3 linked regions of the Astyanax mexicanus genome follow. The protein of the gene in region 1 purifies or fractionates together with the protein of each later gene. This does not show direct contact. Links are inferred from orthologs where the notes say so. Each region holds a gene or a part of one and is shown in the gene's direction. Other genes may lie near its edges. The genes, in order: srfb, mrtfab and myocd.

Region 1 (7,440 bases):
CACTAATGTATCTTTATCTTCTCTTTCTAATTTGCTTAATTCTAAATAAGCTACCGGTACAAACAAACTTCGCTGTTGTTAAAAGGCTGATTTTTATTAAAGTTGATTTGTATCATAATCAATCACAGCAGCGTTGTTTGTGTAATTTCTTAATAGACTAGTTTTAGGCCTGTTTTTGAGGGTTAATATATACCCTAACAAAAGTGCAGCATATAAAACAAATGAAAAACATATAAAGCAGGCTAATTTTTACACGGAATAGACCTAAGAGAAATTCTGATTTCACCTGACACCCTATTTCAAGCTCATTTCAAATCGTTTTTTTTTTTTTGTCTTTTTTGTATCAAATGCTGTAATCAACCAAAGTTGGCTGATCACAAGAGTTTAAAAAATGTAATTGAGGTTTAAAAACAGGTTTAAGGTCTGGTGTTCCAAAAAGAATAACAATAATAAAAAAAACTCAACTTTTTAATGTCAATCAAGCATATTTCGATTAGATGACAGACATGATGTTATTGAGTAACAATTTAATAAAAACCCAATTTATTAACTAAAAATATTGCCTTTCAACACATTTTCTCTCTTTTCCAGACATGTGCCAGTGCGCAGTGTGAAGGGTTTTCCTAGATCCCATCACATACTGTGTGTGTGTGTGTGTGTGTGTGTATAAAACAACAATAGCCCCCAGACAGCTGGCGAGCCTATTTAGAGGAAAAAGTCCAGTGCTGTTTTATGGTCCCAGTCCATCCCTATATCTCTATTACTGGTAAAACAATTTGGATTTGAACACTAGAACCAGATACATGACTGCTGCATTGCTCTGATCTGATCAGTAGAGGGCGCTATATTGTGTGAGCTGGATTGTGTCCTGTCCGGGGTTGTTAGGCTAATCAGTGGATATTAGGCTCCTAATCAACTATTCAGTTGTTTTTGTCAAGTCTCCAAAATCACTAATGCTTTACTGTGGAATGCTTTTAGTGCTTTATTTGGACATAGCCGGTTTCATACTAGCTGCAGCTGGAGGCAGGACCTCCTTCATTATTATTGCACTTATATCACAGGCTCTCTTCATGTGACATTATCTGGTTCCCACCATAAAAGGCTGGTCGTGTGCTCGACAGCTTTTACTCCTGCTGTCAGCTGAGTCATCAGTAGGTGTTCTTTGCTGATGTGGGAGCGCTTCGTGAGTCCTACGTCTTTTGCCGTGAAAAGACATCCAGCCGTGTGCTCTCACACTCAGCACTTCAAGTGTTCCTCCCTCTCACCTAAGACTGAATAATGCATTTTGTGTTAGGTCTGTCTTTTGTTCTCTGTTAATGCGGCCTTGCCTTTCTTTTATTTCACCGTGCAGGGTGTACAATCAGAAGGATGTTCAAGCTTCCTTTTAAGGCTTTTGCATGTGGAATAAATGTTAATAAAATATAGATTACATTAAGACGCACATATAAGCTATATATTTAACCATCATGTTTTTGGGGGTCATAAAATCTTGTCACTTATCTGACAAATTTTAGTTTTTTTTTTTTTTTTTAATAGCAGCATATTATTTTTTTAGTTATGCAAGATGACCAGCTTAGATCCTGACCAGCATAGGGTGTATTTTTGTTTAAAGTTGATGGTTAACTGGTCTACAATCTGATGGTCTTAGTCTTGGTCAACCAGCATAGTTAAGCTTGCTCTTTCTGGTTGTCTAACTGTATATCCCTGACCAAAATCAAAGGCATCATACACTGTGCTGATCAAATGCTGAATTACCACCTTGTTAATTATCATAGTGAATGTTTTACCTGTCTGATCAGCTTTTCAGTTCAGCAAACACACCCTGATCGTTAGCAGAATTGTTCAGCAGGGATGCCTCAATGCTAAGAACATTAAATCTGCCATGGATTAATTTTTTATGTATGTTAATTTGTTATTTGATGTAAAAATAGTAGCTAAATATATGTCTTTGTTTGGGATGAAACATGCTCAGATGTGGTTTAAATGGCCATTAAAACCCTGTTCTTTTCTCAAAATTAGTCACACTGATTTTCTTTTTTCAGAGGACTCAAAAAAAAAAGATGAGTTCTGCTTTAATTGGCAGGTTTACAGCACACTGGAGCCACAGAGAGTAGACACAGAGTAGCATAGCTTTGTTTTTAGGTAAATACAGTTTTCCAGTCTAGTGCATCTTTAATGAACCCCTCCAGTATGAAAATTGCCTTCAATCAATTAAAATAAATGTCAGGGTGATTTGCTTGTTTACTCACTGCTGCACAAGCTTGTTAGTATTCTAATGTGGGCTAATGACTTAAGTAGGTATATAATTGTTGTGGTTATTTATAAGTGTTGGATAAAAATTTAATGAGTGGTGATAAAATGAGTCCAGTATAGGCCATTACAAGATGTTTTGGTCTGCTTTACACCGAGCCTGCCCTGTCACTTCACATTCAAAATAGGGGTTTTGAGTGAGTTTTTTTGTTTTTCTTTTGTTTTGAGAGGCAAAAAGATATACATTAATTTACAGCACTAAATCAAGTCTCTTAATCAAGTATTCCATGAATTTTGCACTCCACTTTTGTAGCTGTTATCTTAACCTACTGCATCTTTATAACAGTTACCATGGGAACTAGATGCACTACTGCTGTAGTCTATTGGAGTTGTGTCAAAGGTTGTGAAAGTGCACAGATAGCATGTTATGTTTGCAAATCATGTTGGGCCAGGTACGTTTTGGCCTGATGTTAGATGTCAATTGGTGCTTAATGGTGGACCAACTTAAGTGTGATATTGGGTGTCAACCAATGTATCATGGTAGGCGTGATGATAGGTGGCGTGATGATAGGTGCCAACTAGTGCTTGATGGTGAACATACATTGGTGTGAATTTGGGTGTGATAAGTGGGCTTGTGTCATCCGGTGTGTTTAATGGTGGGCCTATGTTGGCTTTATCATTGGGTTTATCATTATTGATGAACTATAGACGGGTGTCAATCGGTGTTTGACTGTGTGCTTACTTTGGCTGTAAACCTGTTTGATGGTCAGCTTATGTTGGCCTGATGTTGGCTTCAGAAAGTGCAATCTAATACCTACCAAATGTATATAACTGATTATTAAAAAATGGGTAATATATACAGAACCAGAACCAAGCATTCTCATTAATATTTGTTCTTTATTAACATTATTTACTACATTGAAGATTAATATTAAAGACTTAAACTATGAAGGAACACACACGCAATTGGGTAGTAGACAGTTCCCATTCCAGGTTGTACCCCATTAAGTGGACTGTGAGAATAATAATAATAATAATAATAATAATAATAATAATAATAATAATAATAATAATAATTATCATAATTGCATATGTGTTCCTTTATAGATTTGATGTCTTCAATTTTAATCTACAATGTAGAAAATAATACAAATAAAGAAAAACATTAAATGAGAAAGTCCAAACATTTGACTGGTACTGTAATTGGTGACTAAGCATACTAAATAAACAATTAATAAAAAGTTACAATATATTACTATAATATATTTTTGCCTATTCGTGAGTTTAAATAATCTTTAGTGGCTATTCAAAATCACAGATGCACTTCACATATACAATTAAGTGGTTGTTAGTAGGCCTGTCACAACAATACATCATTGACTTATTGTTCAATAAATGGACAAAACCTTTGACAATGGTGTATCGTTTATTTGTGTTTGTTGACCTATAAAATAGTATTGTAATTCAATGACCAATGCTTCAATAACTGTGACTGAAAAAAGTATATATTTTCCAAACTATGATTTAAATGACATTTTTTGTCGTATTGCTGTGTTATTCTATTATATTATCATTATGGCAGTGAGATTTCAATTGTCTTAAAATGTCAGTAATGTTGTTTCTCGTTATAACGTCTGGGACAATATATTGTCCACAACAATTATTGTGGCAGGCCTAGTTATTAAAAAAAAGACCCATAAAATGAACTTGCTGAAAATTGTCTTTATTATATTGGCATGGGGGTTACAAAAAATACTTGTGTGTTAAATTGTTAGAAATTGCAATTTTGTTCTCTGGATGAGCTTATTTACTTCACACTGCACGTGTGTGTCATTCATATTCCAAAATAATTTATGCCCAGCAGAGTAAGTGGGGTCTCCCTCCCTCTGCCTCCTCGATGACGTCGCCGTGAGCGCAACCGTTTTGGTATGTATTCAAATGAGCAAGGCGCTTTGACCAATGGCGTGCTGAGACTTACCCTCACGGACCAATCGGAGGGCGTCACTGTGACTCGCCAAATAAGGAGAGAGAACTCCTTATAAGGAAGCGTTGTATCTCTTTATATGGAGGAAAGTAGATCCGATAGCTCTGCACGGACAGATTCTTCCACAGCCGGAGAATAATATTAGAGAAATAAATGCATAAACGTTTACGGTTTTGCGTAAGAACGTGTGTTTTTAGGGGCGGTGGGACAGGCCTGTGAGGGTGGTGTGTTTAAGCGGCCCGCGGTCGACATTTTACAGGTTTGCGGTGTGAACTACATGACATGGCGGATTAATCGCGGGGGCGCGCTTCGTGTTTTCCTTTTAGAGAGAGTGCGCGGTGAGTTGTGGAAAGCGGGGGGGTGAGAGCGGCGCGAGGCTGTAGCGGGTTGAGGGGGTTTGGAGGGGCAGCATCAGTTTGGAAACTTCGCTCCGGCAGTCACTCAGGCTTTCCCGGCTCATTCCGAGAGAGTGAGGGGCTGTGCTGCTGCTGCGCTGCGTGTGTTTGTTTGGGTTTGTGTTGAATGTGCCCGCAGTACGGCTTGACCACACACTCGCCCACCGCAGACTGACTGACTGGGGTTCTGGTAGCTGTAGCGTTCGGTAGCGGTGTTTCTTTCCCCCGGTGTAGGATGTTATCCAGCCAGGCTGGCTCGGCGTTGAGTGGAAACGGGTCAGCGTCAGGGAACAGCGCGGCGGTGGTACACGGGGCTGTGGTGGTGGGCAGCAGCGGGCTTCGGCCGGGACTCGCGCGGACAGGCGCTCAGACTGTAGCCGGGGTGAACGTCGCTGCATTCGGAGGGGCTCCCGTGGGAATGCTGGGGGGAAACGGGCCCGGGAGAGGCGGCGTCAGAGCCGGGAACGGCGGTGGCGGCGGGCTCAGCGCACAGGTGGGCTTAGGGGCTCTGGGCGCAGGGTTAGTGGGGATCCCCGGTCGGTTTGACCGGGATAAAGAAGGGGGTCCACAGGGGTGCAGCGCCTCCGACGCGGACTCCGATTCTGGGGACGACGACGAACCCATGGCTGGAGACAGCCGGAGGGGGGTGAAGCGGGAAAGGGCCGAAATGGAAAGTGCCATGCCCGGCCAGGAGGCTGGCGTGCCCCCGGGGGGTTACGGTGTGGTGGCCGGCGGAGTTGCTGGAGCAAAGCCAGGCAAGAAAACACGTGGACGCGTTAAGATTAAGATGGAGTTCATAGACAACAAGTTGCGGCGATACACAACTTTCAGCAAAAGAAAGACGGGCATCATGAAAAAGGTGAGCTTTTCTGTTTGGACAGTTTCCCCATTTACACACCGAATGTCTTTATTTAGTAAGTAACTCACCCAACATCAGTGCAAGTTCTACTAGGAGTGTTGTTTAATTTTAATACATAATAACCTACATCATTCACCTGGGATCACGGATAACACGCACACGTGGGGCCTGAATGGGTAGGGAAATATCCCAACTGTAAACCAGAAACTTTGGTTTATGGGTTTCATGTTGGTCCCACATATAAATGTCAGTGTTGGGCCCCATCAGGGTCAAAGTTGAGACCCATGTAAGACTAAGTCTAAAGTGGGCAGTAATGATTTGGCTCATATGGGAAGCTCAACGGGGTCCCTGTAAAACCACATGCAATACAAACCACCCCATGCCTACCTAAAACCCACCTGTCCCGCCTTTCACCCATGTGAGCTCCACATGTGCTTGAAGTAGCAGTGCCCAAACAATAATGCATAACAAAATGCCCCAAAAACTGCTCAATTCATTCATATAACCTCTGTATATAACTATGGATGTAAACAAACTGTCTTAAAGAAAGTGACTTTTGGACTTTTGTCATTCCACTGCAATTTTTCTCATCTCTAATGTTTTCTCTCTCTCCCTCGCTTTCTGCTGTAATGAGGACTGCAGTATTGCATGTCCTCTCCTCTGGCACATGGTGACTGGAAGTCACAACAGACCCCACTGGCTGTGAGCTTTAAATAGATTAGAGCAACTGACATTCTCTATTTCTGACCACCGCCACCCTTCTTCAAAAAAACACACACACGCTCAGGGTTTGGCCTACATGAAGAGTATCCTTCATCAATGGAGCTTAACCCAAATATTTCAGAATGCAATTTCGGAATAGTTGCCATTGCATTGTTCCTCGTATGTGCTTTGGCAAGGTATGGCTGGAGTTTAGTCTCTGACTAGCCTGTTAGAACATTAATCCATACACAGTTACTTACTTCTAAGAAAAATAAAGCTCTAGGGCTTTAAGAAACAAGGGAAATTGAAGGCCATATTTCAGTATATTGCAGGTGACCTGTGCAGGCTCACTGTAACAGGTCATTGGCTCAGTACCAATACACTGAAGATAACTCCACATCTGCTTTCTTTCCCATAGGCCTGGTATGGGTCAGGGGACTGATCTGTGATTGGACACTCCTTCAAGTGTATTACACTATAAACAAGAAACTTGCTCAGTCTACATCAGTACATATACCATGGAATGGTACAGTGAGTGCAGTGAAATTAGTGGAAGTTATTTAGAATAGGCAATAGCTAAAACAGTAAAATGCATACATAGAAAAAAGAACACAATTTTGTTTAATCATTCATTTGCCTGTCTAATTAAGATTTTTTTAAATCCACATGTGGGCCACGTGTGAGAAGCATGGCCCAGTGGGCATGCAACCCCTTTCTCAAGAGTAGGCTATAGAAATGTTATTATTATTATTATTATTATTATTATTATTATTATTATTATTATTAATAAATTATATTAAACCACCACTTAGCCCTCTACCAGATCTCCTGCCTTTTACTATGGCTGTTTCTCAAGAGCACTTTGCATACTGAATGAATAAAGACACTTTAAAATGTAAGTCCCTTGTATTGGATGTGCTGATAGTAATAAGATTGTAAGTAAAAGTAGATTTTAAGTAAAAACTGTTGAAGTGTTGCAGTACTCTTGTTATGTTTATGGTATAGAATAAGTTTAAACTTTCCATTGTTTTTGTTAATAATCTTTATCTTATAGATGCAGAGATGCTAAGATTTGACCAATATATCAAATGGAATTTTAATAATCATTTTGTAAGCTTCTGTAAACAAGTGTTACATTCCTTTGTAAATGTTTATCAGCAATTTTAATACAGCAGCACAAATGTACACAAAGTACAGTATGTTCAGTCCAGTACTGTGCACTTTTAGGCAAAAAATACAATTCTGTATAC
Region 2 (7,192 bases), on another chromosome or scaffold:
CATCTATTCTGTTAATTTGTCAAGCTGCTGGTGCTCTGGCAAATTCTGACTCCCCTTTATATGCATGTGCTTCACACAGTGCTGAACCAGTGTTCTGTTGCTTTTCGTGATGGAAAACTAAATAACAATAGTTATTAATAAGCAGAAACTACAGACATAAACAGACAATGACATTTCCACCTTGTATTACTAAATTAAGACAAACAGAATCGGCTTCCGGTGAAAAATAAATGCAACACAAAGTGCATGGTGTGACGAGGTTTAAATGTCAAAATGTTATATATTTTTTTATAAACCATATCTGACTCAGCTTCGCAAAAGCCACTTGTTAAAAAAAATGTGTAAAAAAAAATAACGTGCTAAGTGTGGGAAGTCAAGTAAAAATTTTAACACCACTAAATTGACACCCTTGTGGGAACAGCAGAATATATATATATATATATATATATATATATATATATATATATATATATATATATATATATATATATATATATATATGACGGTACATCACATGACCTCACATTCAAAGTGATAACTAAAGTCGGTCATTTCATTGTAAAGCTTATTATGTGTGTTTGTATTTTAGTAATTCATCACAATTCTGTTGGTGCTGATTTGCATGTTCAATCATTTTTTTTATTATGCCATATTTATGAGACCAATCAATGCAAATGTAATGTACCTGTGGGCTCACCTAGTTCATGATTTGCTTGTTTACCTGGGAAATCAGTACGGTAGTGACCATTATAATTCATAATACACCCATTGCATTACTCATATTGGCAAACAGTAAGGTGCGCAAACATTGTTAACAGAAGTATAAGGACACTTATTTATTGTTAGGGCTGCGTATCGTAAAATTCTTTGATACTGATACTCAAACAAAACTTTTTCTAAATTGAAACCAAAAATACAAAAAGCAATAATTATTCTCACACAGTGTATTTATTAAATAGCCTTTAGGAATAATATCATTCTAATACTGTCACCAGGAGAGGCTCAATCTTTCTGGATCTTGTTTGAACGAAAACAATAAGTATGTTTGTGGTGTTTTATTAAGAACAAAAACAACAGCCTTACTTTTTTAACTGCTAAAACTATAAATCTTTTCTCTAAGCATATGGCTGGATGCATTTTAGAATTAAAGAGTTGTTATTAAGAAATATCAGCATCAGATTCAATTAATTTTTTTAATGGTGTCAATCACTTAAAAACAATTCTAATCACTATTCATTTATTTAAATGCTGGTAGTTCCCTGTTTTTTTGGGAGGGAGACAGTAATAATAGTGTAGCGTGGTTTACTTCTGACTTACTTCTGACTTACTGTATTATATTATCTCAGTGTAGAGTGCTAGAGAGAGAGAGGGAGACGGAGCGAGTGCGAGCGAGAGACACCGCGAGTGCGAGCGAGAGACACCGCGAGTGCGAGCGAGAGACACCGCGAGTGCGAGCGAGAGAGTAAAACATAGATGTAAAGAGTGTATCCTGCTTTTTTTGGACTAACAGTCAATACTATCTAGGGAAGTCTTCCTACTGCATTTTGGAGCATTGCTGTGAGGATTTGTTTGCATTCACTGACGAAAGCTTTAGTGAGGTCAGATTGTTGGATGCACCTCTAGCCCATGTCTGGCATTAGGCATGGTGTGAATAAAAAAAACATGATTATCTACATGTTTTTCAGTAACACTTTTTGGCAACACATCTTTACAGTGAATAGAGAAGTTGTGCATGTGAACATTCGTGTTAGCAATGGAAGCAACATAAAGTAGCGGAAAGCATTAATTCATAGGGGTGTCAACAAACTTTGAGACATGGTGTGTGTACTTACAGTCTGTCATTTCATAGTTATTCATCTGTAAATGTCTGGGTCGAGTGGACTTTGGTCTTGTTTCCTCTGTAGGACTCTGTTTGGTTAAGGTGGCGTCTTGAAGCTTGTGGGTGGATGTGGGCTTATTTGTAGGCGGTGTTGCACTTCCTGTGGGGTCACTCTTGCATCTAAAAATGCCTGTGAGCTTTCGATTTTTTTTGTTAGCATGAAACCATTTCAGCAAAACTATTGCTGCTTTATGTTTAATTCATACTAAATAAAAAGCTCTCCTTCGCTGAGAATCCACAGTAAGTTGTAACAAATGTGGTTCTATCAGGCTACTATCAGCTTTGGATCTAATGGTTGTACAAAAGAACTGGCTTTCACAGGTTTCCTATGTCTTTGCTTCTTTTCATGTTTACTTCCATTCATTGGAAGGTACCCATTTCAAAGTAATCTGGTTTTCTCAATTTCAGTTCATGTGTGGCAGGAAAGCACCTCAGGGTGTTCTGCCACTATGCAGAAGTGCAACTTATGATGATGAAAAATGAATGTCCATGATATGATACGTTCCTCTACCTGTCTATATTTCTGCAATTTGAAATGTCATTTTTTTTGTGTTTGTTGGTGCAAATGTTTGTGTCATCATAATTGTTGGTGCCTTAGTGCAGCGATATCTGTCAGTAATTCTATCCAGTGCCTGCACAGGTGAAGCTGAGCTGAATATAGAGCTTTTTGGCCAGCTGGCCTTACTATTTAAAACTGGGAGAGGACCCAAGAGGGGGGGCCAGGGTTGACCTCGCCAGCATTCTGCAAGAGCCACTCAGAGGATCGAGGTTAGGGTATACAAGTGAGCTTGTCAAAAGCTATAAATGTCCCCCCTAAACTCCTGTACCTTGCCCCCAACCAGATACAGAAAGGTCAAAGGAGTTTTCCATTCTTTTACCGACATCCTTTTTGTTAATCCTTTCTCATTTGTTGATGCATTAGTTTTAAAAGCTTTACCAAGGACCATTATCAGAGTGTGAGTTTTGTGAGCATGGCTAGCAATGGACTGCTTTGACAGGAAGGGGCCACCTGACTGACAACTGTTGTATTTGTTTGATTTGTCAGGACAGCTGACTGCCCAAATGGGTGCTATAATAAAATCAGAACCGGGTAAAAATACATGGTATGTGTTGACAAACATGTGAGGATGTTATCTCATAATAAACCAAACAATGCATAAAGGCATTGTTTGTATTCATGTATTCATGTATTCATTGCAGTCATAGTGTGAATGGTACATTTGGTCATATTTGCAAAGTATGGGTTGCAGCAGCAGCTCTGAAGGAGGTATCTTGGGTGTTTGTCAGGTTTTTTGTATTTATTATTATAAACTCCTATTTGTGTACATATGTATGAACATGTAGTTTAATACGCTTATCAGAGAAATCAGAGTACAATATTTAACGCCAGTAACTGGATATTCCTCTTAAGAGTACATCATTCAGACCATACAGTAAGTTTGCGAACACAGCAGAGCTAGCAAATTCTAACAAAAAGTAAATACAGATAGAGTTGGAAAAGCAAAGAAATCATGTACTGTAAATGAAAATGTGATCAAGTTTTAGCGCTAGGTAAGCATCTTCAGTTATAACAGCTGTTTTAACCCTTTTGGAATTACATAAACGTTTTAAAGTAATTCCACAATTCTATATAGTTCCAATGTAATTGGACAATTGACTGATTAACAGTTTTATAGTCAAATGTGACATTTTCCCTGGCTGAACAGGTTTTGATGCAAGTTCAGACCAAAGGCCTTAAAAAATGAAAACAAATAAAACCCACCATAATAGATATTATTTAGGCTTATAATTGTTGAAGTTTGCGATGCTTAATTTTTTATTTAAATGCAGAAGTTTTGCTTTGAGATGCGAACCACTTGTAATCCAAGACAGATAGTCAAGTTTATACTACTGTAAAACTAGCCTGTCCATCCTGACTGTATATTATGAGAAATAATCTAGGCCGAAAAAAGATCTCAGCCTATAAATGCATCTTGAAATATGAACAGGCCTTAAATATTTGAAACAGGAAATGTACTGTTTGATTTGTTTAGACTTTTTATATGCCTGTGCTGTTATTTTTTTTCTAGTAAATAATATGACCACATAAAGTTTCATTAATAGTTTTGGCCCTGGTCCTTGTATTTTGTATGCAACACTTGAGCGGGTGCTTTAGTTTGTGCTGCTGTAATGGAGCTGAGGGAGAGTGTGAGGGTCTGCAGATTGTAATGAGTGAACGAGTGGCAACAGCTGAGGCAGACAGTGCAGTCATTGGCACTCAGCAGCTCTTCGTCTGCCTGCCTCCGTGTGTGTGTGGGTGTGTGTTGGGAGAGAGAGGGGATGGTGCATGTTTGTCTTGCTTCAAGCACAGCACTAGTCCCATTCTCCCTGCTGCTGCTGCTCCTGCTGCTGGGTACCTTCACCAGTTTCCTGGATCTACGGGTTGAGGTTCCTTGTTCGTTTTGGAGATTTACCATTTACTCTACAGCTGCAGGAGAAAGAGAAAAGACAAAGGAGAAAAGAAGTGGAAGCAAGTAGAAGCGCACCTTTTGAGCAGACAGAAGGAGCGGAGGCTGTGTGCTCTTTATTGCGTGAACTTCGTAGGTGCTCAATTGAGGAAATATTGCTCTCCTTCTGAATAATTCCAGCCATTATGGAGAAGTACCACCTTTGATCATCTGCAAATGAGACCGATTTTCTAAGCTCAGAAAAAAAAACATCTGGGATACTACCTATAAGCCTTCGTGCTGAATTGAGACAATAACTTGGGATCATTATCTTATCTTCCTTCAGTCAGTTCTGGATTCAGTCATGCTGGACACCAACCATTGCCTTCACATTGATGCGTCCTCTTTCGAGGATCCACCAACCAGAGCTGATCGAGATAAGCAGCCTATGAGGCTGGACTATGACCGACATGCCTATCATAGCCTTAAAGAAGGTGGGCCCAAAGCATTACATCCACAACAAACATTCATTATTTGAGCAGGATCTAAATATGGATTAAGGCTGTCTATAGATAATAAGCCTGTCATATTAAACTGCATGGGATCATATGTTGGCTCACTCTTAATTCCTCTACTTCATTCATTCTTTCATTAGTTATCTTACAGTAACAATTTATATTGTCCACAATATTATGTGTGTGGACAATATAAATATAATATAAATAATTATATTATTGTTTTATGAGCATTTATGCCACTAAAATCATGATAATATAATAAATGTAATCACCATGTCTGCTCATTCATGTTAATAGGGTCTCATCGCTAAGAAAAACAATTTGGCAGATTTTAACTTTAGTTCATGGCCACATGTTGTAAGATAAATTAATAACATAAATATTGTGATGGGTCTACGTATGATTAATAAGAGGGCAATAATCCTGTAAAATACGTTGTTTATAACGACTAAACAGTTTCAGCTCAAAGCTGCCCTTTCCTAACACAGCATTTTCATTGGAGATTTTCCATTGAAAGGACAATCTAGTCTAGGACTAGGCTTAACTCCTTTCTGGGAAATCAATTTTAAGTAAATTTTGGCATGCTGACCCCGAGCTTGGTGGGTTTTAGGGATGATGTCTATCCTCTGATAGACACTTAAAAGTGTGGAACCAGGTTGGCCTTCAGGATGCACCCGGTGTAGGGTCTTTGGGGACAAGAGACATGTTTAATTGAACCCACCAACTGGTAGGCTCAGGGATTAACCCAGTTGGCCGCTGTGACTTGGAACTCTCCACTCTCCATCTCTTTAACTCAAAAGGGCAAGTTGCTGTAGATATTGAAGTACAGCACTCTCTGGCCTCCATTAACTCTGTACTTAGCTCTCCCGGTTCTTAATGTAAGCAGAGAGAGAGAGCTGGCGTTTAAGGTGTCTGTTTGATTTACAGTAATGCTCCCAGGTTCTCAGAGAGGTGTGGGGTGGGGGGGTTGTGTTTCCTCAGTGGTGCACTGGGGACAGAAATAGTGGTAAAGGGAGGTGGAGGGGGCGTTTTGAGTTTTCAAAGGCTGTAGTTAAAGTGGGAATGAGAGGAATTTAGATGACACAGAGTAACAGTGGAACCAACAAAAGCATTCACTTCACAAGGGAGAGTGGAAGAGGGGGCTGTGTATGAACCGGTTCAGAACGAGGTGAGAGGGTGGGATTCACATACCCGGAATTCCCATCCGTGCCAGTCAGTTGTGCTAAACATGTCCTTTGGCAAGTTTTGGCATGTCTGGCATTGTGTGCCACGTGTGGAAGTGTGCGTTTGTGTGGGTGTTTGTGTCTGCAAACACACAGTGGAGAGAGTGAATGGTGCATTTGCTCCATAAAGCCCAGCACTAATCCCCATACACTGTGCCCATGAAGGTCAGAACAGCTGACCAGTGAACCCTGCAGCACCAGGATGCCCATAATGATGTCATTTCTGCAGGGTGACAGGTGTGCTCTGACTGAGGATTTCACAAAGAGCAGCAGCAGCAGGCTTGCCAGAGCAAGGAAGACTGTGTTTTGTTGCTAGTCGACAACCAATGAAATGATGCTAACCTACCTACCAAGTATAGTTGGTCAAGAAAAGCATATTTGGTGTCCAAATTAGTTGCAGTGATGCTACAAAGCTAAATTAGAAAAATGAAAGTTACATAAAAATATACACAAGTATATCTACGCATTAAGTAAAGCATGATTGCATGATTAATCTCTTTGATCAGTCTGTTTCCGAGAGCAACACTGCTTCTAATGAATGCTCTTTAGTCTATTCTAAGACAGTCCTTAACGATGTGTTGGAGAACAAATGTGAGTCATACTCAATGTTGACCTGAGTTCAAAATATGACTATTCTGTGTAAGGAGGAAATGAGTTGAGCACATTTTAAAGACATACAAGCTGAGCAACACCATATGTTATACAATTACAAAACATTAAAATAAAACAGATTTTTTTTTTTAGTACTGAAGCTTACTACACATGATGACATTTTTCTGTCTGTGTGTAAACACACATCATTGTGTATAGGACTATCTTTGGATAGTCCAATAGCATTAATAAACACATGTCTAACTGCAAAATTCAGAACACAACAGGACCCCAACAATTTGTGCAACAGCTTTTCTCTGAGTTTTGCCGAAGTATTGCCCTTTCAAAAACATGAAATCTTTAAACACAAGGTGTGCGTTCAAGCAGGATTGTTTTGCAATTTGTGCAGACTTAGACATGCATGACAAATAAATACACATTATGGGTATAAATGTCTTAATTTTTTTGCTTAAAAAAATTGTAGTTGACTCCTGTTTCCATAGGACAAACATAAAATTTTTTTGTAAAATACATTTGTAATTTTGGCTACTTAAA
Region 3 (6,956 bases), on another chromosome or scaffold:
TTACAGTCATATTTGATCCACTTATGTATCTAATGCATAAGCAGCATTTGTTAATGTAACTCTATATTTTAGTGCTTGACAAATGTTTGTACGGTGGCCAAGAAGGATCATACGCACTGCAAATTGAAAAGAGCTGCACAAAATACATCCATCAAATTGACAACGCAGGCACTGCAAACAGAGAAATACAGCCAAAACAAAATGGAAGTGAGACACAACACAACAGAATTTCCCGAGGGGACCCTAAAAGATGCTGTACTCCTAAACTACATCTTTATTAACATTCAGTGAAGCAGCCCTTTTACTATGCATAGAACCGTGGTAATCACTGTTAACAAACATAACTTATTTTTCAGAAGTTCGGTTGCCACTAATAGTCCTCTGAACACACAGCGAAATCCGAGATGTTACTTTTAGGGCCCCCTGGAGAAATTCTGTTGTGTTGTGTCGCACTTCTGTTGTGTTTTGGCTGTATTTGCAGTGCCTGTGTTGTCAATTTGATGGATATATTTTGTGCTCTTGCAGCTCTTTTCAATTTGCAGTGCGTTTGGGCTTTCTTGGCCACCATACAAACATTTATCAAGCACTAAAATATAGATCTACATTAACAAATGCTGCTAAACCATTAATTGCACAAGTTGTTTTATTGTGAATAATGACTATGAATCATATTGAAAAGTTATTTTCATTTAATATTCCAGGTATTCCTTAACAACATATTATTGATATCATGCCACTAGATTTTTTATTACCAAGCTTCCATAGGTGGGACAAAAATGACCTGCATTTAATTCCTATACAATTTTATGCAGAATTATTTAACAATATTATAAATATTTTTTGATCTACATATGAAAGAGTGAAGAGTACAATTATTTATGAATCTAATGGTTAAAACTTATTCTAACCATTTCTAGAGGTGACATCAAGTATATAGTATTCTGAGATGCAGAAAAGTACATTGAGATCTTTAAGATATAGATACCGGGGATGTTCATGCTTTTTCAACAAGGCAATGGAAAACCACATGCTGTTTTTATACCTACATCTCTCTCTCTCTCTCTCTCTCTCTCTCTCTCTCTCTCTCTCTCTCTCTCTCTCTCTCTCTCTCTCTCTTATCTCTCTCAATTTTTTTTTTTATTTAAAATAGCTTTATTTGCATTTTTCTGTCAAAGCAATGAAACAAATACTTAATATGCAAAAGGTAAAAAATAACAATATATTTAAAATATATACGTTAACATACCTTACATATAAAAGTACGTCATACAGTTACATAGATATAAAAAAATTATAAATTAATAAGAATCTATAACCCTGTAAATAGTTGTAATAGCTGTAAAAGCTTCTTCTCTGAGAACAACTCCGAGTTTATCACTATCGGATAGAGATGGGAATGCAGGATCGATCTTATTAAACTGCTGAATGTACAGGTCTGGTGGGCAGTATAGGAGGAAGTCTCTCTCTCTCTCTCTCTCTCTCTCTCTCTCTCTCTCTCACTCTCTCTCTCTGAAGGCGTCCCTGCCCTTCAACCTACCAGGTTGTTAAAAATCTTTCTGTATGTCTACAGTCATACAATTACATTTCCCACTAAGACCATACAGACTAAAGACATGGACCAGACTAGCAAACTGTTCAATTAATTAGCTTATTGGCCCACATAAGCAACAATCTTTTAGCTACATTTTATATTGAATGCGTGAACCTTCATTATCAGCATTTGTTTTCTTTTCACAGTGAAATATATGGGCACCTGTATTGACTGTTTTAATTAATATTTAAAGCAAGTAAAGTGTATTTGTGTTTATTTGCATGCATCTGTAAAGCCTGCACTCTGACAGTGATGAAGCGAGTGTCATTTTACCACTTCCCTCTTCACTCTGTCACACACAACACTGACATTTCCTCTTTATCATACACTCTGAATGCACACACAAATACACACACACTCTCACACAAAATACACTCAAACAAAACACACACACACAAATGCGTGCATCATGCCCCTGGTCCAGTATTCAGGCTAAGATAACCCACAAACTGCAGACTCTCCTGGCCAGCGAGGTTCCGCTCGTAGTAAGTTGCACGCTACAGTTTGTTTGTATATCTGTTTAGAGCGTTTTGGCATTATCAGTGGTCAATCAGTCATGCACATTTTGTTCTTAAATCGTGTTTGGAAAGTTCTGCCTTTTCCCTTCAGCGCTGTGGTAATGATGTATCATTCTGCTTATGCAAATGGCTAAACATCTGTTTTACCCATGTTGAGCTTGAGTGTGCATTGTGTGCAGCTCTGTTGATTTAAGACTTGCAGACTACAACAGTTTGTTTAGCATGTAAAGCCTGTGTAACAGAAATGTCACAGAGCCAGACAGTGCATTACAATTACTCATCTGAACTTAAACGTGTGTCTGGGAAGGCATGAGAACACAGCCGCTGAATCTGAAACGCCAGGCTTTACAATAAGACGGGCTCTATGATTTCTGCAATGCAGAGAACATATCTGGAAATATACAAAAGTGCCAAGTTAGGACTAAAAACAAAGCTAGGATTATTCTGACAATACTGCGCATGCAGATGTGCACTAGCTGCAGATATACCAGTAGCTTAAAAATAATGTAGTTTTAACTGTAAAATTCAGACCACATCATTACCCCAACAATTTAAATGTATCTAAAAAACAACCTTTCTGTGAGTTTTGCAAACATACTATAGACAATAGACAATGAAGATGCACTTTAAAGCAACAGTTGGTAAGTTTTGGGGATTTGAGGATACAAAAAAATATGATATTTTTATTGTAGAGCTCTGAAAAAAATGAAGAGACCACTTCAGTTTCTGAATCAGTTTTTCTGATTTTTCTATTTATAGGTATATGTTTGAGTAAATTGAACATTGTTGTTTTATTCAATAAACTACGGACATCATTTCTCTAAAAATAGTGTCATTTAGAGCATTTATTTGCAGAAAATATTAGCAGATCTCAATTAATGCAAAGAAAACAAGTTAATATTCATAAAGTTTTAAGAGTTCAGAAATCAATAACCCTGTTTTAATCACAGTTTTCATGCATCATGGCGTGTTCTCCTCCACCAGTCTTACACACTGCTTTTGGATAATTTTATGCCACTCCTGGTGTAAAAATTCAAGCAGTTCAGCTTGGTTTGATGGCTTGTGATCATCCACCTTCCTCTTGATTATATTCCAAAGGTTTTCAATTTGGTAAAATCAAAGAAACTCATCATTTTTTAGGGGTCTCCAAACATGTGCTTGGTTTTTGCTGGATGTATTTCACTTATTTTTAAATGGTGCACAACAAAGCTATGAGTGCTTCTATCTGCAATTTTGTGGAGAAACTGTTAAATTAAACTATGTATTTTATAAATTAATTAAACGTATGTATTATATAAACATCTATATTTATATTTTCGCAATCAATACAAATTTCAGTAATTTCATCTTGCTATTTTTTGTATTAATGTAACTGATAATGCATATTCCCTTAAAGTTAAACTTAAAAAAAGTAAAAAAGTAAAAAAAATAAAATAAATGCACCTTAAACTTAAATTTATCGTAACGGCTGATTGTTGTATCATTTTACTTTGTGTATTTTTTATGGTTTTATGCTTCAGTAAAGATCTGAAGATTTCCTCTGAAAGCTCTATTACATTCTAAACTGCAGGATGAGCAAAGAGGGTGGACCCAATATACTAAAGGGAAGCAGCATGTGTGTGTATAATAGAAATAGATAACAGGAAAACACTAATATGGTCAGAATAGTCAGAATTGATACTGTGGAAGATAAATATTGCTATTGTTTCAAAACATAAAAGGTTTTCCAGAGGTGTACAGTATTCAGATTATTCCTTAAGATATTAAAACATTGTTTTCTCTTATCTCTTTCTACAGAAATGATTCTTCATCCACTACAATAATTTCCCAGATGATTTCTTAATAATGAGGGATTCACACTGACATGGCTGAAGTCCTTCCAACAAAAGCGCTGAAAACATTTGCTGCTCTGACGTGTCCGAGAACAACTGGGAGTCTCAGTAACCTCAGTCTGGGTGAAAAACGAGTTGAAGAAGAAAGGCGTTATCAGACCTTCAACCAAAAAGCAACACACCAACTCCCTGAGCGTCTATCTGTGAAGAGATGATCCTCAGCACTGCCCAGTTTAGATGAAACTTCTCAGGTAGGACATTTGTATCACTCCGCTAACTCTGTTAGCCTAGTTCTGCTTTCTTGCTTAAGATTGTCTTTAATGTTGAATATTTTATGTTGTTCTTTGATTTAGAAATGGTAAGTAGTTCTGACATAATAACTGTATTTGTTTGTAGGTAATAAAGTACAAAAAATAATTGAGATAAACGATATTATTGAGATTTTGAGACAGTTGTATTACAATTATTAAAATTCTAATATAATAGCATTAATTTGTTACAAAATCTGACATTGAAATCGACCCATTGTTTGTGTTAATAGACTATCATTGCTAAGAAAAAACATAATTTGACATACAGAAGTCAAGGTTATTTCCATATATTGTATGATAAATCGGTACTGTAATTATCGTGAGAGACGTGCTACATGCTCATTTTCCTTTACTGGTTCCCATCAATGCAAACTTTAATGGGCTGCATAACAAATCCTAGCCTAGGCCTAGCATAGCCTCGCTTTTTCCCTCAGCATAGATACCTGCAGCAGCGATTGCTCTGATTGGCTGTCATTCCTTATCCGGTCATTGTAATGATAGCTGATAGTTTGATTTACTCATTTACCCAACCTTTTTATTCTAGAGCATTTTTAAATATAGATTTGAACAATAAAAAATCATAATAATTTAGATCTTTAAATATTTAGAACAAATCTCAAATGACGAGATATTTTTGTATTTCTTTTTTTTTTTTTTTTTTTTTTTTTTGCATTTTAAAAATCATGTATGGATTTCTGTGTTTTTAAAATACGCATTTATTCAGACAAAGTTTCTGGAGCAAATTTTGAATTAATTTCTTAAGGGTTATTAAAGGTGTTTGTTGTGCAGGTTTAAGACCAGGTGGACTCATTAGTTTAGATCATGTAGCACATTAACAATATCATTTTGACTTCATTTTTCATATTTAAACATGCACTTTTTTAACGTATGTTTACAGATCTTTGCAAAGATTTGTACAAGGGTTAGTTGTAGTAAAAATAAGTGATTCTGGATTGAGCATAGGTACACGCATATACTGTTTAAGCTTTACTGAATTATATTTTGGCTATTTTAGCTTTAATTAAGCAGTTTATTATTTGTGTCCATACCTTCACTTAAATACAGTCTATATATGCTTCTCCCACCTCTTATGGTTGTAACAAACAGTGTATCATACCATATATATATGATGATATTTTGTTTGGCAATACTGTATCTATTTAAAAGAAAAACACAATATTGTTTTTTAATTATTAGTTTACATGTAAATATTGGTGTCAGACTGTGGTCTCCAAGAGGAGATCTATACTTTTAACTGATGCTGTCAGCCTTTTAAGACTTATGCTACATTCACATTATCAGGCTGAAGTGAATCAAATCAAATTTTTTGCTCAATGTGGCTCAGATCTGATTTTTTCATGGCTGTGTGAACGTGCCAAATCCGATTTATTTATGTTTATTTTTTTAGGCACTTTCATATGTGGTCTTAAGTCGGATACATATCGAAAACATGGACATGCAACATGAATGTAAACGGTCAAATTGGAATGCATGTGTCTTTTTGCTTTTACGCATGCTCTATGTGCTTCTCTCGTATCTACACATCTCTTGGTGCAGCTGTGCAGCTATAGCTGCAAAAAACAGCAAAAGCAAACCACCTGGCCTCACCTCACCTCCTCAACCTGAGTATTCACTTCAGACCAGCTGTTTTCTCTCCACTCCAACAAAAGGTGCTCCACATATGAGCTGCTAACACATCCATTTCACCTTATAAAGCTACAAGTCGTCTCTCAAATGTGTATTTTTTTTTGTTGGTGGTGAAGAAGGCAACGTTTATACACGTATATGTGTGCACATGAAAGTGACCTGTATCTGTGTGTAATGTGAACAAATCTGTCTCTGAAACGCCTCACATTTGTGAATGTGAACCGTCCAGATAGCCAAATCCAATCTGAGCAAAAAATCGGATTTGTCCAATGTGGCTTGTAATATGAACAAAGCCTAAGTCCTCTAATCTGATTACAGTTTTCTTTATTATTATATTTTTATCAACAAAAGCCTTGTGCCTCATAAGGGCATGTACCTAATGTACTTTGTTGGAGATGCTAGGTTTTGTGGTCAGGAAACCTGGACTAAAGCATCAAAGGGAAGAGGTGAGATGAAGATAAGTCTAGCAAACATCAGCAGAGTGTAATAAGTTTATTCTGCTGCTGTGCACTTAATGCTTTAAGTTGTCATTATAGATTCCGCATGGCAGTTGCTTTTATGACGGGGATTAACACGGATTGAGTTCATATCAAATAATTTCACCTCTGTAAAGAAATGCTTTAGAGCATTTTACATTTGCATGGCTGAGCGTGGTCATGTTCTTTCTCCACACCGTCCAGCTGACCGTCTGGTGGCCTGTCTGTGTCCAGCATTAGGATCCTGGCTGATGTTACGTTTATGCAAATGCGATTTCTGGATTGTGTAGAGTTTGACGTAGTTGTTAACGTGAGGAATAAGTATTTTTCTCTTTGTGGTTTGAAATCATTTGCTTGGATAAGCAGTAAGCTCATTAAACATCTGTTTGTGGTCGGACGACAACTTTGCTTCCTCCAGATATGCAGTAAATATTTTGGTGAAAGAATACACTACAGGCAACATCAGTGTACACGTGATACGTGTGTTTACGTGCGCTAAAAGAATGCAGAAGAGGTGTATGAAGAATGCAAAAGTGTTTCAGTGAATGTTAGTGTAATGTAGTGTAATGTAATCTTCTTTT

What was found.
Region 2: the proteins of srfb (region 1) and mrtfab purify together in Homo sapiens (affinity purification with western blotting; 4 studies listed by BioGRID and IntAct, with this or other methods). This does not show direct contact. The link is inferred for Astyanax mexicanus from reciprocal best matches to the Homo sapiens genes SRF and MRTFA.
Region 3: the proteins of srfb (region 1) and myocd purify together in Homo sapiens (affinity purification with western blotting; 3 studies listed by BioGRID and IntAct, with this or other methods). This does not show direct contact. The link is inferred for Astyanax mexicanus from reciprocal best matches to the Homo sapiens genes SRF and MYOCD.

Annotation. Positions count from the first base shown.
Region 1 is NC_064414.1:39,389,228-39,396,667, forward strand, and holds the start of srfb (serum response factor b), read left to right. Parts: upstream 1-4,372; 5' UTR 4,373-4,864; coding exon 4,865-5,488; intron 5,489-7,440. UniProt on the Homo sapiens protein: SRF is a transcription factor that binds to the serum response element (SRE), a short sequence of dyad symmetry located 300 bp to the 5' of the site of transcription initiation of some genes (such as FOS).
Region 2 is NC_064422.1:28,595,359-28,602,550, reverse strand, and holds the start of mrtfab (myocardin related transcription factor Ab), read left to right. Parts: upstream 1-4,132; 5' UTR 4,133-4,669; coding exon 4,670-4,799; intron 4,800-7,192. UniProt on the Homo sapiens protein: Transcription coactivator that associates with the serum response factor (SRF) transcription factor to control expression of genes regulating the cytoskeleton during development, morphogenesis and cell migration.
Region 3 is NC_064422.1:27,232,768-27,239,723, forward strand, and holds the start of myocd (myocardin), read left to right. Parts: upstream 1-3,921; 5' UTR 3,922-4,192; intron 4,193-6,956. UniProt on the Homo sapiens protein: Smooth muscle cells (SM) and cardiac muscle cells-specific transcriptional factor which uses the canonical single or multiple CArG boxes DNA sequence. Acts as a cofactor of serum response factor (SRF) with the potential to modulate SRF-target genes.